Caenorhabditis elegans: one gene and its partners. The protein of the gene in region 3 interacts with the protein of the main gene of each other region in a pairwise test. Each region holds a gene or a part of one and is shown on either strand. Other genes may lie near its edges. The genes, in order: pals-17, cpl-1 and eif-3.D.

The links.
Region 1: the proteins of eif-3.D (region 3) and pals-17 interact in a two-hybrid assay, tested with the Caenorhabditis elegans proteins (one large-scale study listed by BioGRID).
Region 2: the proteins of eif-3.D (region 3) and cpl-1 interact in a two-hybrid assay, tested with the Caenorhabditis elegans proteins (one large-scale study listed by BioGRID).

What each region holds. Positions count from the first base shown.
Region 1 is NC_003281.10:1,389,950-1,393,532, reverse strand, and holds pals-17 (Protein containing ALS2cr12 (ALS2CR12) signature), read left to right. Parts: upstream 1-1,680; 5' UTR 1,681-1,698; coding exon 1,699-1,741; intron 1,742-1,786; coding exon 1,787-1,835; intron 1,836-1,884; coding exon 1,885-1,972; intron 1,973-2,023; coding exon 2,024-2,112; intron 2,113-2,455; coding exon 2,456-2,759; intron 2,760-2,804; coding exon 2,805-2,987; 3' UTR 2,988-3,083; downstream 3,084-3,583.
Region 2 is NC_003283.11:16,592,061-16,596,913, reverse strand, and holds cpl-1 (Cathepsin L-like), read left to right. Parts: upstream 1-1,567; 5' UTR 1,568-1,568; coding exon 1,569-1,826; intron 1,827-2,302; coding exon 2,303-2,401; intron 2,402-2,942; coding exon 2,943-3,390; intron 3,391-3,958; coding exon 3,959-4,167; 3' UTR 4,168-4,342; downstream 4,343-4,853. UniProt on the Caenorhabditis elegans protein: Cysteine protease which plays an essential role in the degradation of proteins in lysosomes.
Region 3 is NC_003281.10:8,969,129-8,973,149, reverse strand, and holds eif-3.D (Eukaryotic translation initiation factor 3 subunit D), read left to right. Parts: upstream 1-1,571; 5' UTR 1,572-1,573; coding exon 1,574-1,755; intron 1,756-1,801; coding exon 1,802-2,761; intron 2,762-2,808; coding exon 2,809-3,237; intron 3,238-3,279; coding exon 3,280-3,421; 3' UTR 3,422-3,515; downstream 3,516-4,021. Other genes in the region: R08D7.4 (Complex1_LYR_dom domain-containing protein), read right to left, coding at 1-90, 162-462, 516-929; Putative RNA polymerase II subunit B1 CTD phosphatase rpap-2, read right to left, coding at 3,523-3,670, 3,722-3,871, 3,916-4,021.

The DNA of each region.
Region 1 (3,583 bases), 7.6 Mb from region 3:
ATAAATTTAAATTCAAAAACAAGCTGTGAGGAGTGTGCTGTTTTATTTATCATTTTCAGTACTGTACAACCTAAAAATTCAATTTTCATAGCGCAATGGCACAAAATAACAGCAATTGGAAGCATTTTGAGAAACATAAATAGGATGTACATTGAAATAGAACAAATATGCACTATTTTTCTGTGAAATCTAAAAATTACTATACTTTGATAGTACTAAGATGCATTTTACAAAATAGGAGACCCATAATGTTTGTTTTATTTCCGATAAATACCCTGCCATTAGATATTTTTTGAAAATTCAAAAAAAAAAACGAAATATGCGTTCTTTGTATTTTCTGAACTAAAAACTGCAACCATATATTCAAAAAATCTACTGGAATGTGTTTTTCTGATAAATATTTCCTTATTCTCCCAAAAATATCGATGAAAAACAGGAAAAACACTTTCAAAGTTTCACTTTTGATTCAGAATGCAAGCGCGCCCCACTGCACACTTCAGGATTCTCATTGGTTAAAAATTCGTGCCCTAGGTTGCTGTGCGGAACAAAAACGAGAGAGACGACGATAAAGTGGAGCAAAAAGGAGAAAAAAAGAAAAAAAATTATGTTATCTACACATTTCATTTTCCTTAAAAGGGTTGTTATCACTTGAAAAAGTTTCCTGCACCTACGTCATTTTTCTACTCTTTTCGGATGTTCATATATTGCTTCAAAATTCTCATGTGTGAAAAATAGGGGATTTAAAAATTTTCCATGACTTCTGGTCGTGACGTTTTCTTTTATATTCTTAGTAATAGTACCGAGTACTATAATTTAAGACAATAAACTAGGACTGCTTAAAGGTCTAGTCCCTCTAGTGGGGTACAGTTTAAACAATTATTCTTTGAAGTATACTTTTTTGGAAAATCCCCGGAAAATGCAAAAATCGGGACCCAACATATTATCCGCCGACATCTCACGAGTTTCGCGGCTTGCTGTGTTTACCGTGACAGTTACTACGCCCTCATCGTCTTACGTTGCTGACGGCGTGCCGCACTGTCACGGTAAACGCAACGGGGTGCAAAACTCGTGAGATGTCGGCCGCTGATATTTTTTGGGTCCAGATTTTCGCATTTTCCCATGAATTTCCGAAAAATTTTTGCTCAAGACATTTTTGAATGTCTTACAACTTGAAAGGATTGTTTCGTTCCTTTCTAAATTAGTTGTTAGTTCCCAAAGTGTTCTCACTGGTAGATCATGCATAACGCGAGCCAGAAGCCAACGCACTGTCCTCCGGTAGCCACGGAAAGGTAGAACTTGGAGAAATTCCGTCAACTAATAAGTTTGCAGATTCGTAGTCTAAAACACACATACAAGTGTGATTCATTTTCTTACCATTATCAAAACAAAGCAGTGAGCACCCGTCATGTAGTGACATTGATTCAATACATTACTACATAATTATAGACCTTTCATAATACTCCCAGTTGGTTGCTCTGTCTTTATTTTTAGTACATTTTATAGACAACTAGCATGAACTTTTGAAACTTACTTGCGACCTCCTCAATGTTCATTTTCGAAACAAAACGTTTCAGTTATGAAATTTTCTAACGAAACTTCTTGAGCATAAAAGTACTAGTAACTCTCACACACGTCCGTTTTTTGGAATTTAGTGCCTCGTTTTTTCCAAATTTAACTTACAGAACCACCTCGCCAAAAATGAATTTTTCATCAAAGTTTTCTAGTGAAAAGTCTATCAGTGGTTTGTTCCTTTGACCAAGTCAAAATTGTAAAATTAAGTTTTCAGCTCAACAAAGCAACCTGCTGAGAAGAACATTTTCGGAAGGAAAAGAAATGTAAAACCCATAAGTCTCAAAAGTCTAAATAATGCTTTTCACCCTTCAGACAGTTTTTTATGGAGAGGCAAGGCGATTTTGCTAGACCAGAGCAGTCAAACCTTAACTACATGGAACCTGAATATTATGAGTTTAAGGTATATTTTATTTTGAGAATATATAATAATACTTACAGTTTCAACTTTTAGCCCGGAAACAGGAAGTTATATTCAAACAAAAATGGAGCATTCCAGAAAACAAGGGAAGAGGAAATGCTAAAAAATTTTGAGGATGAAAGGTTAGTGTTTTTATAGACGGCGTGCTATTTGACATATACGGCCTTCAAACTTACAGGCCAGTGCCAGGTAAAACAGATTTGGAACTTGCGTTTTTTCACAAATATGCATAGTTCACCACTCCCTGGTCTAACCAAAGTCCGCCTAACAGATCTTGCACACTTACTGAACAATTCGAATATATTGTTAGATTATTCCTAAAACAGCTCACCTTTTACGCGTTGCTTTTGAATATAGCTCATTATTATCAACACTATTGGATATTTTACAAATAGTCTTACCAGTCCAATTGTGAAGTATTTATTGCTACCCTTAAAGTAAAACCATACTTTGTAATTTTAACAGGGAACATTTGGAGCAGGAACACAACTTGAAAATTCACAAATTAGAGAATAAGAGGAAAAACTACATTGCTTTTCTAAAGCTCAAGAACAGAAACGAAGCTATGAGGTTATTTTCAAAAATGGTCCGTTTACTGCGTGAAATTGAGAAGGACGTGGACAATGCAGTGGAAAATGGTATTTCGGATGAGTTGTTCTCCGATAGCATAGAACGCCAAATTCAACAATTTGAGGAAGAAACTGAGTACTTTGAAAGTTTTATGATAAGATCTAGCTACATTGATGCGGATATATTTGAAAAGTTATCGGTATGTACAATTTATTGATTCAGTAAACATTTATTTAAATTACAGGACCAAGTTCTCAAAATGGGAGAACTTGTTAACTACTCGAATCTCCGATCTTTGTGCGTTCATTACCAAATAGCTTGTAGCAATAACGATGCCGAGAGAGTGGAGCTGTACAAGGATGATCTGAGAAACTTTCATCTCGATTTACAGGAAATGGCTGATATTTGTTCGGATTTTAATGTATAATGAAGAATATCTTTTTGTTTTTTTTTGTAAACAATTACCGACTTTTTATCTGAAAACTTACCTAATATGGTCTTAAATAAAGATCTTTAACGTGTTGTTTACATACATATGCCGTATTTTCCACCAAGGTCTTCATGCAAGACTAGTTTGACTGTGTTGTAGGGAACTATTTCAAAGTTTCAGATAAGTTATTGATGTTTTAATGAAACAATCATGTTAAATTTGTTTCGACTAAAACTAATACGTCACTTGAGTATTCGCACCACATTTTTTGATTTTTCAAATAGAGAGTTATGGAAACGCAGAAAATTGAAGAGAAGTAGTTGCTTATCAACACTTCTACAAGGTGATACATTTCAGTCGGCTGTACAATCGTCATCAAAGTTTATCACCCAGAATGGATACCATAACTGATAACAGTTCTAGGAGCATATGTATATAAAAGTCGATGACAGAAAATAGGGTTCTCACTTTGGAAAATTTATCCTAATAGTAAGATATTGTCGTATTATTTTTTGTTTTTTTTAATTTATCATAGTTTGTAAGCCAAACTTTTTGGTTAAAAATGTCTCATCTACCGGTGCCATTGAATTATT
Region 2 (4,853 bases), on a different chromosome or scaffold from region 3:
GCATTTTTATTTCTTCCATGTTTAGAATTGTATGAACTTATGAAATTCTATTGAAAAATACGTAACGATTTTCCTTTCCCGTCTGAAATTTAAATTTTTATGTGAACACGTCTCAAAATCTGAATTTCTTATGGGAAAATATCTGAAGTTTCAATTTTTTTTTATTTGAAAATAAATTAAATTCATTTTTTTACGATTTTTTAGGTGCTGAAACTTTGAATTTTGTATCGAAAAATGTCTGAAAGTGAGAACTTCCAATTATAATTTTTCTTACATTTTTCTTGTTAGTTAGTTGAATTTTGAGTTTTTAAATTACTGAATTTCGAAATTCACGTGCTGAAAGTTATAAAAAACTTCATACGAGTTACAGCATTTTTTGAGATTTTGAAATTTCCAAATTTCGAAATCTCTTTTTTTCCCTATTTCCCCAAGATTAAACAATTGTCGATTTCAAAAAATTGCTTAGAACATCTCAAGTCTGCCATTCCCCACTCCAAAAAAAAAACAGGTTCCCATTATCATTCCTTATTCCCGTAGATTATCTCACCGTCTTCACCAGGTATCTTATCAATAGCTGGATGATTATGTAATTTCTTGCTGATGACATTTATTTTCTCGTTTTTCATTCCTAAGTTTTTTGTTTGGAAATCCTTTAGAATGCGAAACAATTTATTTACATTGTTGGCCACCTGTTAAAGTGACCTAATTGTTTGTTTGTTTTCTGTCCTTTTTCCCCCTGTTTTTTCAAAGTTAATTTTAAAAAACTTGACTCACTTTGTAGTTTGACCTTTGCTAAAAAAGCAGCCGACATCAGTCAAGGACCACTTATAAAATTTTGAGACATTGCTTTTTGGGGCCCAAAATCGTTAAAAACTACCGAATTTCGTAATGAAAAGTTTTGAAAATTTCTGGAAAAAAAACCGAAAAAAAAGTTCATACTTCAAAAAGAGCAAAATTTGATGGAAGTTTCTGTTCCTAACGTCAATAAAACAGTAGAAATTGACACAAATTGCTGGAATTTTGCGGTTAAACTCCAATAATTGACACTTTTAAAAGGCGAACAATTTTCTCGGTTTTGGAAACATTTCTAGCAAAACTGGTAGTTTTCTAAACTTTGGGGGCACTACAAACTACAAAAACCTTAATTTTCTGTATGTTCAATACTTCAAGAAGTTCGGAAACTTCCGCTCGAAAACTTCCGTTTTTCGAAACACTTATCCCTGATCACATGCTTATCTGACTTAACCCTATTATGATAATCATCCAATTTCTGTACTATTCTGAGCTCCTAGCACCGGAGCAAGCACTTTCACCCCTAATTTCCCTCTATTATCAGTTGACTGATAACCTGATGGTTTGATCGCTCTCTGTTTCTCTCCGCCTCTCCATCTCTCTCCTCACACTCGTCCTGGCACTGATTGACGCTGTCCCCGCCTACTTTAGGATCCTTCATAAACTCGCCTCGGGAGGTGTTCATTGTAGTTCCTATTCCATTTCCATATTTTTTCGTGTTTCCCCTGCTTTTTGTAGAATTTTCAAATTAATTTTAAATGTTATAAAATTCCAGAATGAACCGATTCATTCTTCTGGCACTGGTTGCCGCCGTCGTCGCCGTCAATTCGGCCAAGCTGTCCCGTCAAATCGAGTCGGCCATCGAGAAATGGGACGACTATAAGGAGGACTTTGATAAGGAGTACTCGGAGAGCGAGGAGCAGACCTATATGGAGGCATTTGTCAAGAATATGATCCATATTGAGAATCACAACAGAGATCACCGACTCGGAAGAAAGACATTCGAGATGGGATTGAATCATATTGCTGACTTGGTAAGAATATGCATTTCAATGCACCATGAGCTGCGGCGTCCGACGTTTTGAGCTCCGGGGACTCAAATTCTGGCTCCGAGGACCGAAGTCTCTAGCTCCAGGGTCCCAAGTTTTGAGCTGCGGGGTTTCAAAATTCAAGCTCCGGTTCTTAAGTAACGAGCTCCGGGATCACAATTTTTGAGCCCAAGGATCTCAAGTTTGGAGCTCCGGAGTCCCAAGTTCCTAAAGCGAGGATTTTCAAGTTTTCCTTTTTTGCATTTCCTAATTTCGACAGATAAGAAAATAAATACCCCCTATAAAAACTTCAAAAAGCTGTTCTCTGTCTCGTTCCACTATCAAAATCTCACCCAGCGAGAAAAAAAAAGATAAAGATATGAAATCCTCGTCTCGTGACTGACCAACAGCTGGCTTATCACACCACCACACTGACAAAACACACGAAGGTCATTTGATTTTCAAACTCTTGTTTTTTTCAGCCATTCAGCCAATACCGCAAACTCAACGGTTACAGACGTCTCTTCGGTGACTCCAGAATCAAGAACTCCTCCTCTTTCTTGGCTCCATTCAATGTTCAGGTAATTTTTTGAGAGGGGTTTTGTTGGGGTCCAGACACTAACTTTCTCGTCGATCAAAACTATAAAACTATTTGCATAAACAAAAACGTTTTCAACGACCGATAAAAATAATTCTTCGCTGACCGTATTTTTTGAATTATCATCTCTGATGATTGATACGCTTGAAAATTGAATTTCGCAATGTTTTGGTCACCGAAATGTTTAAAAACAAGATTCAAATGGTTAGAACTGTTTTTGCTGAAATTTGAACACCAGAGCTTAGAGCTGTGATGAACTTCTAGGGGATAAGCCTAAGCCTGAGCTTCAGTCTAAGCCTAAATCTAAGCCTACGTCTAAGTGTACGCCTAAGCTTAAGCCTCAGCCTAAGCCTCAGCCTAAGCCTAAGCCTAGGCTTGAAACTGATTGTGAGTTGATGGATTTGGCTCAGTCCAGGAAGAAGTTTGGTCTATGCCTAAGCCTTAGCATAAGCTTGAGCTTCCCAAGCTTTCGGCTAAACCAAACCCTCAGCTTAAACTCAAGCCTAAACCTATTCAATTTTCAGGTCCCAGATGAGGTTGACTGGCGTGATACCCACCTCGTCACTGATGTCAAGAACCAAGGAATGTGCGGATCGTGCTGGGCCTTCTCCGCCACCGGAGCCCTCGAAGGACAACACGCTCGCAAGCTGGGACAACTCGTCTCCCTTTCCGAGCAAAACCTCGTCGACTGCTCTACCAAGTACGGAAACCACGGATGCAACGGAGGACTCATGGATCAAGCTTTCGAGTACATTCGTGACAACCATGGTGTCGACACCGAGGAGTCATACCCATACAAGGGACGTGACATGAAGTGTCACTTCAACAAGAAGACCGTCGGAGCTGATGATAAGGGATACGTTGACACCCCAGAAGGAGATGAGGAGCAACTTAAGATCGCTGTCGCCACCCAAGGACCAATCTCTATTGCTATCGACGCCGGACACCGCAGCTTCCAACTTTACAAGAAGGGTATGTTTTGTGGGAAGATGTGAGGGGGGGGGGGGTACTAGTTTTTATTGACGGGTCAGTTTTATTTGCATTTTGGATGATAATGATAAGAAAGCTAGTTACTCGGGTTTTTCATCAGAGACAGAGAGGGCAATAGTGATAAGAGAACTCGTGTTTTTGAATGATACCCTCTTGACAATAATAGTTTGGGTTCGAACTTGAATGTGAAAGTGGTGAAGGAATTTATAAATTGTTTAGTAGCAAAGTATAACCCCATCAGCCTAGGCCAAAGTCTAAGCTTAAGCTTACGATTAAGCCTAAGCCTAAGCCTAAGCTTACGCCTAAGCCTAAGCCTACGCCTAAGACTAAGCCTAAACCTAAGCGAAAGCCTAAGCCTAAGCCTGAGCCTAAGCTTAAGCCTAAGCCTGAGTCTAAGCCGTAGCTCAAGACTAAGCCTGAGTCTAATCCCAAGCCTAGCTCATAAGCCTAAGCTTAAACAAATGCCTAAACCAAAGCCTAAGCCTAGGCCTAAAACTAGGCCTACAGCATAAACTCAGCCTAAGTTCCACCGAATATCATCCATTTTCAGGAGTCTACTACGATGAGGAATGCTCATCCGAAGAGCTCGACCACGGAGTGCTTCTCGTCGGATACGGAACCGACCCAGAGCACGGAGACTACTGGATTGTCAAGAACTCGTGGGGAGCTGGATGGGGAGAGAAGGGATACATCCGTATCGCCCGTAACCGCAACAATCACTGCGGAGTCGCCACCAAGGCCAGTTATCCATTGGTCTAAATTTGAACTTAATAATTAATTTTTTTTTTTGGAAAATTTAATTGTAGCCCCGAATTGCAATTCTTTGACTCTTTTCTGTCAAGCTTTACCTCGTTTTCTGTATTTTTTTGGAATTTCTCTAATATCTATAATTATGTATTTCAAATTGTGGTGTACATAAACGATTTTTGAATTTAGTTTTGCATTTTTCTGTCTTAAAAACAAGTGAGGAAATAGTAAGAGCATATAATTAGCTCGTAACAAATTTGAATTATAGTTTTCGTTTTCGCTTTTAATTCAGACACCAAGTTGTGACGTCCTTTTTAGCGTGTCTACGCCCCTGCCTGCTTGCCTAGTCAATCAAAGTCCCCCACGAAAAATTAAATAAACATTGCAAAGCAGCGGTTGTCGATTGTTAACCCTCTCTCATTACAAACATTTGCCGCCGCTGTACACCGCGGTTCCATGGTGTAGCGGTTAGCACTCAGGACTCTGAATCCTGCGACCCGAGTTCAAATCTCGGTGGGACCTATGCTCTTTTTTCGCAGTTTCTAACCTCAGAAAGTAGACTGATGTTCTTTCCCAAGGGGTTCAATTTGCACGTATTTTTCAATAATTATCCACCTCTTTACTTTTTCCCCTCGAATTCATTCTATGCGTGTTATTCATCGAGCTATAAGTTTCCCTGCCTCTCAAATATTTTGTTT
Region 3 (4,021 bases):
TCAAATCCGTGGGTTCCTTCCATTCAGAGAAATCAAAATCACACCAATTGAGTGAGCGAACTGTTGCTTGATTGTTGTTGGCTGACGAATCTACAATTTAGATTCTAAATATTTTTAAATTTGAAATACGGAAGGAGTCGATTTTATTTCTCAAAAAATACCTTCAGTATCACTCTTCAGATCGTTTTTCGCAATATTCTCTTCTAAAAGATTCAGCACATTATCATCATAATCAGTGAGCGTCACACAACAATCATTCATTTTTGCAATTGCAATTCCACTAACACCACATCCTGACCCGAGTTCTAATATTCGATTGTACTCGGAGGGAATCAAGCGAAAAAGATTGGCGAGATCACAAGAAGCTTGCCAAACTGATAAGCCAGTTGTACCCATTGATAGTTGATTTACAGCTTCCGAGAATTTCGCTAGAACTTTGTCGCCTCCATCGGTTAGGTAAACCTGAAAATATGAAATTATTTCCATTTGAGCTGACGAATTGTTTAAAAACTTACTCTTTCCACATATTCTCCTTCTTTCATTCCCATTAGAGAACCAAGCCTGTCGAACATTGAATCAGGAACAACAACATTATTGGCTTGAAGTTCAGAAATCAAGTTTTTAAGAACATTTATTTGAAATTTGTAACGAATTTCATGCGATGTGACAATTTCATTATTGAAGACATTGTTGCAAAGATTCTCAGCATATTCCGAATCTTTTATGCATTGTTCTACAATATCCTTCATTAGCTGATCCGGAATTTTTGAAGCGCTACAATAAAATCTTTTGAACTGGAGTTCAGTTGTCTCCTTTTCTGAGTGGACCATCCCGCTCAGTTCTCCGTTTTCTTGACATTTTGTGAAAATTTTGCGTTTTCGTTCTGACTGAATAAGCGGTATCAGGAGGAAGGTATTCGGGTCTTGCATGTGGAATTCCGTAGTGTTCTGCTTGAACGATTCGCTGCTCCGCTTGATAGATTAGTTTGCCAATCACTATTGGGTCTTTTTCCTGAAAAATCCCATATAATTAGTTTCCACATCAATATTGAGAACGAGAATACCTGCTGGTGCTCTCGGAAAGCCTGACGAGCTTCAGTGATAATTTGTTGTCTCTCAACTACAGTATTTGTTTCTTCTTTTGCTTTCCAATTCTTGCCCAATTTTAAAATCTGTCGATAGAGCTGAATGACTCGAATACTTTGTGGCACTGTATTCATCAAGGTGGACCCGTTTCTGGAATTATATTCTGATTATGCGAGGAAATTTGGAGAAAACAAATAAAAACCAAAAATTGAGGTGGCGTCAAGTGGCGAATGTTGGCGCGTTTCGTGTACCTTGCGCATTTCTCGATTAAACATTTTTATTTTTACACGCGTTCTTGTCGGATTTTTCACATTTTTATACGATTTTCTGATTAATTTTTCTGTTTTGTGAATTATATAAATTCATGAAAGTCTTGTAACTATATTTTAAATGCTCTCGAATGTTATTGTTCCATTTCCATTTCTTTTGTCGTTGCTATCGTTTGGCCTAAAATTGCATTTCAACACTATTTTATATTTATTTCAGGTATGGCTCTACCAAAGTTTGAACTGTTGTCATTGGCTGATAATACAGTCGGATGGGGTCCATTGGCGTCGAGTTCCTCTGCTGATGAGCCTGTTCCATTCCAACAATTCAACAAGGCTGATCGCATCGGACGTGTTGCCGACTGGATTGGTGTTGATAGATTCTATAGAAGAGGAAATGAGAGGTTTTTATACAACAAATGAGTGGTATCGTTAAAACTTGAAATTTAGATACAATGAGCGTGTCTATGGATCCGCCGCCAACGCTGGAAGTCAGTTCGATTACATTCATGGAATGGATGAGCATAACTTCCAACTTGTTGACACTTCTAAACCAATGGCTCGCAATCCACAGCGCAACTTCCGTGTCCGCCAAATGCATCTTCGTAAGATGATGCAGAAAGAAAATGAGAAGCGTGAGATGGTGAACCAGTCAACGAATTTGAGAATGAAGAGAAGTATCGCCAAGGAGCAACAACGTGCCTTCAAGATGTGGCAACGTCGTGGAGGAAATGCTCGTCAAGGACAACGCGGACAAGGTGGTCGATTCGGAGGTGATCGGCCGAAGGAACGTCTTCCATCTGTTCAAGTTAGACCGGAATGGGTTGTTCTTGAAGAAATGAATCTTAGTGCGTTTTCCAAACTTGCTCTTCCTAACATCCCAGGAGGAGACGACATTGGGGATCACCAGTATGGAAGTCTTCAATACTATGACAAGACTATTGATCGCGTTTCTGTGAAAAATTCTATTCCGCTTCAAAGATGCGCTGGCGTGTTCTACAATGTCACCACAACGGAAGATCCTGTAATTCAAGAACTTGCTCAAGGTGGTGCTGGAAATGTTTTCGGAACAGACATAATTCTTGCTACTTTGATGACTGCTCCTCGTTCGGTCTACTCGTGGGACATTGTTGCCTACAGAGTCGGAGACAAACTTTTCTTCGATAAGAGAAACACTAGAGATATTTTGAATCCAGTTGAGACCCTTACTGTTTCCGAGACTAGTGCCGAACCACCATCATTCGACGGAAATGGTATCAACAATGCCAAGGATCTTGCGACCGAGGCATTCTACATTAACCAAAACTTCCGTCGTCAAGTCGTCAAGAGAAACGACGCAGGATTCACCTTCAAGAATGCTCGTGCTCCATTCGAAGACGAGGAGACTGGAGAGTCAGGAACTGCTTACAAGTAGGATTTTCGTTTAAAATTTTGATCTTTAATTAAACAATTTTTAGATACCGTAAGTGGAATCTTGGAAACGGAGTTGATGGAAAACCAGTTGAGTTGGTTTGCCGTACAGAATTGGATGGAGTTATTCACGGACTCGGAAATGAGACTCAGACTCTTACAATCAAGGCATTCAACGAATGGGATAGCACACAATCTGGAGGTGTCGACTGGAGAACAAAGCTTGATGTTCAAAAGGGAGCCGTAATGGCCACCGAAATCAAGAACAACTCAGCTAAGGTTGCAAAGTGGACTCTGCAAGCACTTCTTGCCGGTTCCGACACAATGAAGCTCGGATATGTGTCTCGTAACAATGCACGCAGCACACAAAATCATTCTATTCTACTCACCCAATACGTAAAGCCAACGGAGTTTGCTAGCAACATCGCCTTGAACATGGATAACTGCTGGGGAATTCTTAGATGCGTCATTGACAGGTAAGAACGAGCACATCCAGACTGGTAATCAATTTTTTCCAGTTGTATGAAGCAAAAACCAGGAAAGTACTTGTTGATGAAGGATCCACAATCTCCGGTTATCCGCCTTTATTCGCTTCCAGAAGGAACTTTCGAAAGCGAGCGCGAGAGCTCCGACGAGGAGAACTCGGATGACGATCAATAAAGTCCCCGGTTTCTGACAATTTCTTGTATTCGCTTTTCTAATTATTGTCTCTTGTTAATTAAACTTGGTTCTGATAAGATAAACTTTATTCAAAATATCATTCAACATTGGGATTTAATCGCAGCGTGCAAACCGGTAATTTGGAAAGAATCAAGCCCGCATAGTTCATTGGAAATCGCAGTAAGTTCTGGAGAAGCGTTGTCCTTCTTGAAGTAGTCGTCTCCAAGCTCAACATCGACGAGGCAAATCCTAAATTTCAACATTTTGAAATTTTTTAATTATGCATTTTTTAGAACTTACACAATGAAAAGAGCAATAACGATAGAATTAATTTCTCTCTTTGTCCAGCCAGTGATATTTTCCGAATCGAGTTGGAATGTCGAAGCTACTCGACTGAGAATATCACGACGAGTTGGAGTTAAATGTAAACGTGCTTCCAAATCCATCCAGCTGTAATTTCAAAATTAATATTTAAAATTGCTAGATAAACTCACTGATTCCTAATAGAATGCAGGAAAATATTCAATCTCTTCTCTTTCACATTGTACTTATCAAGATTCGGCAAATTGACCAATTTCTCCGCGTCCACCTTTTTACCGG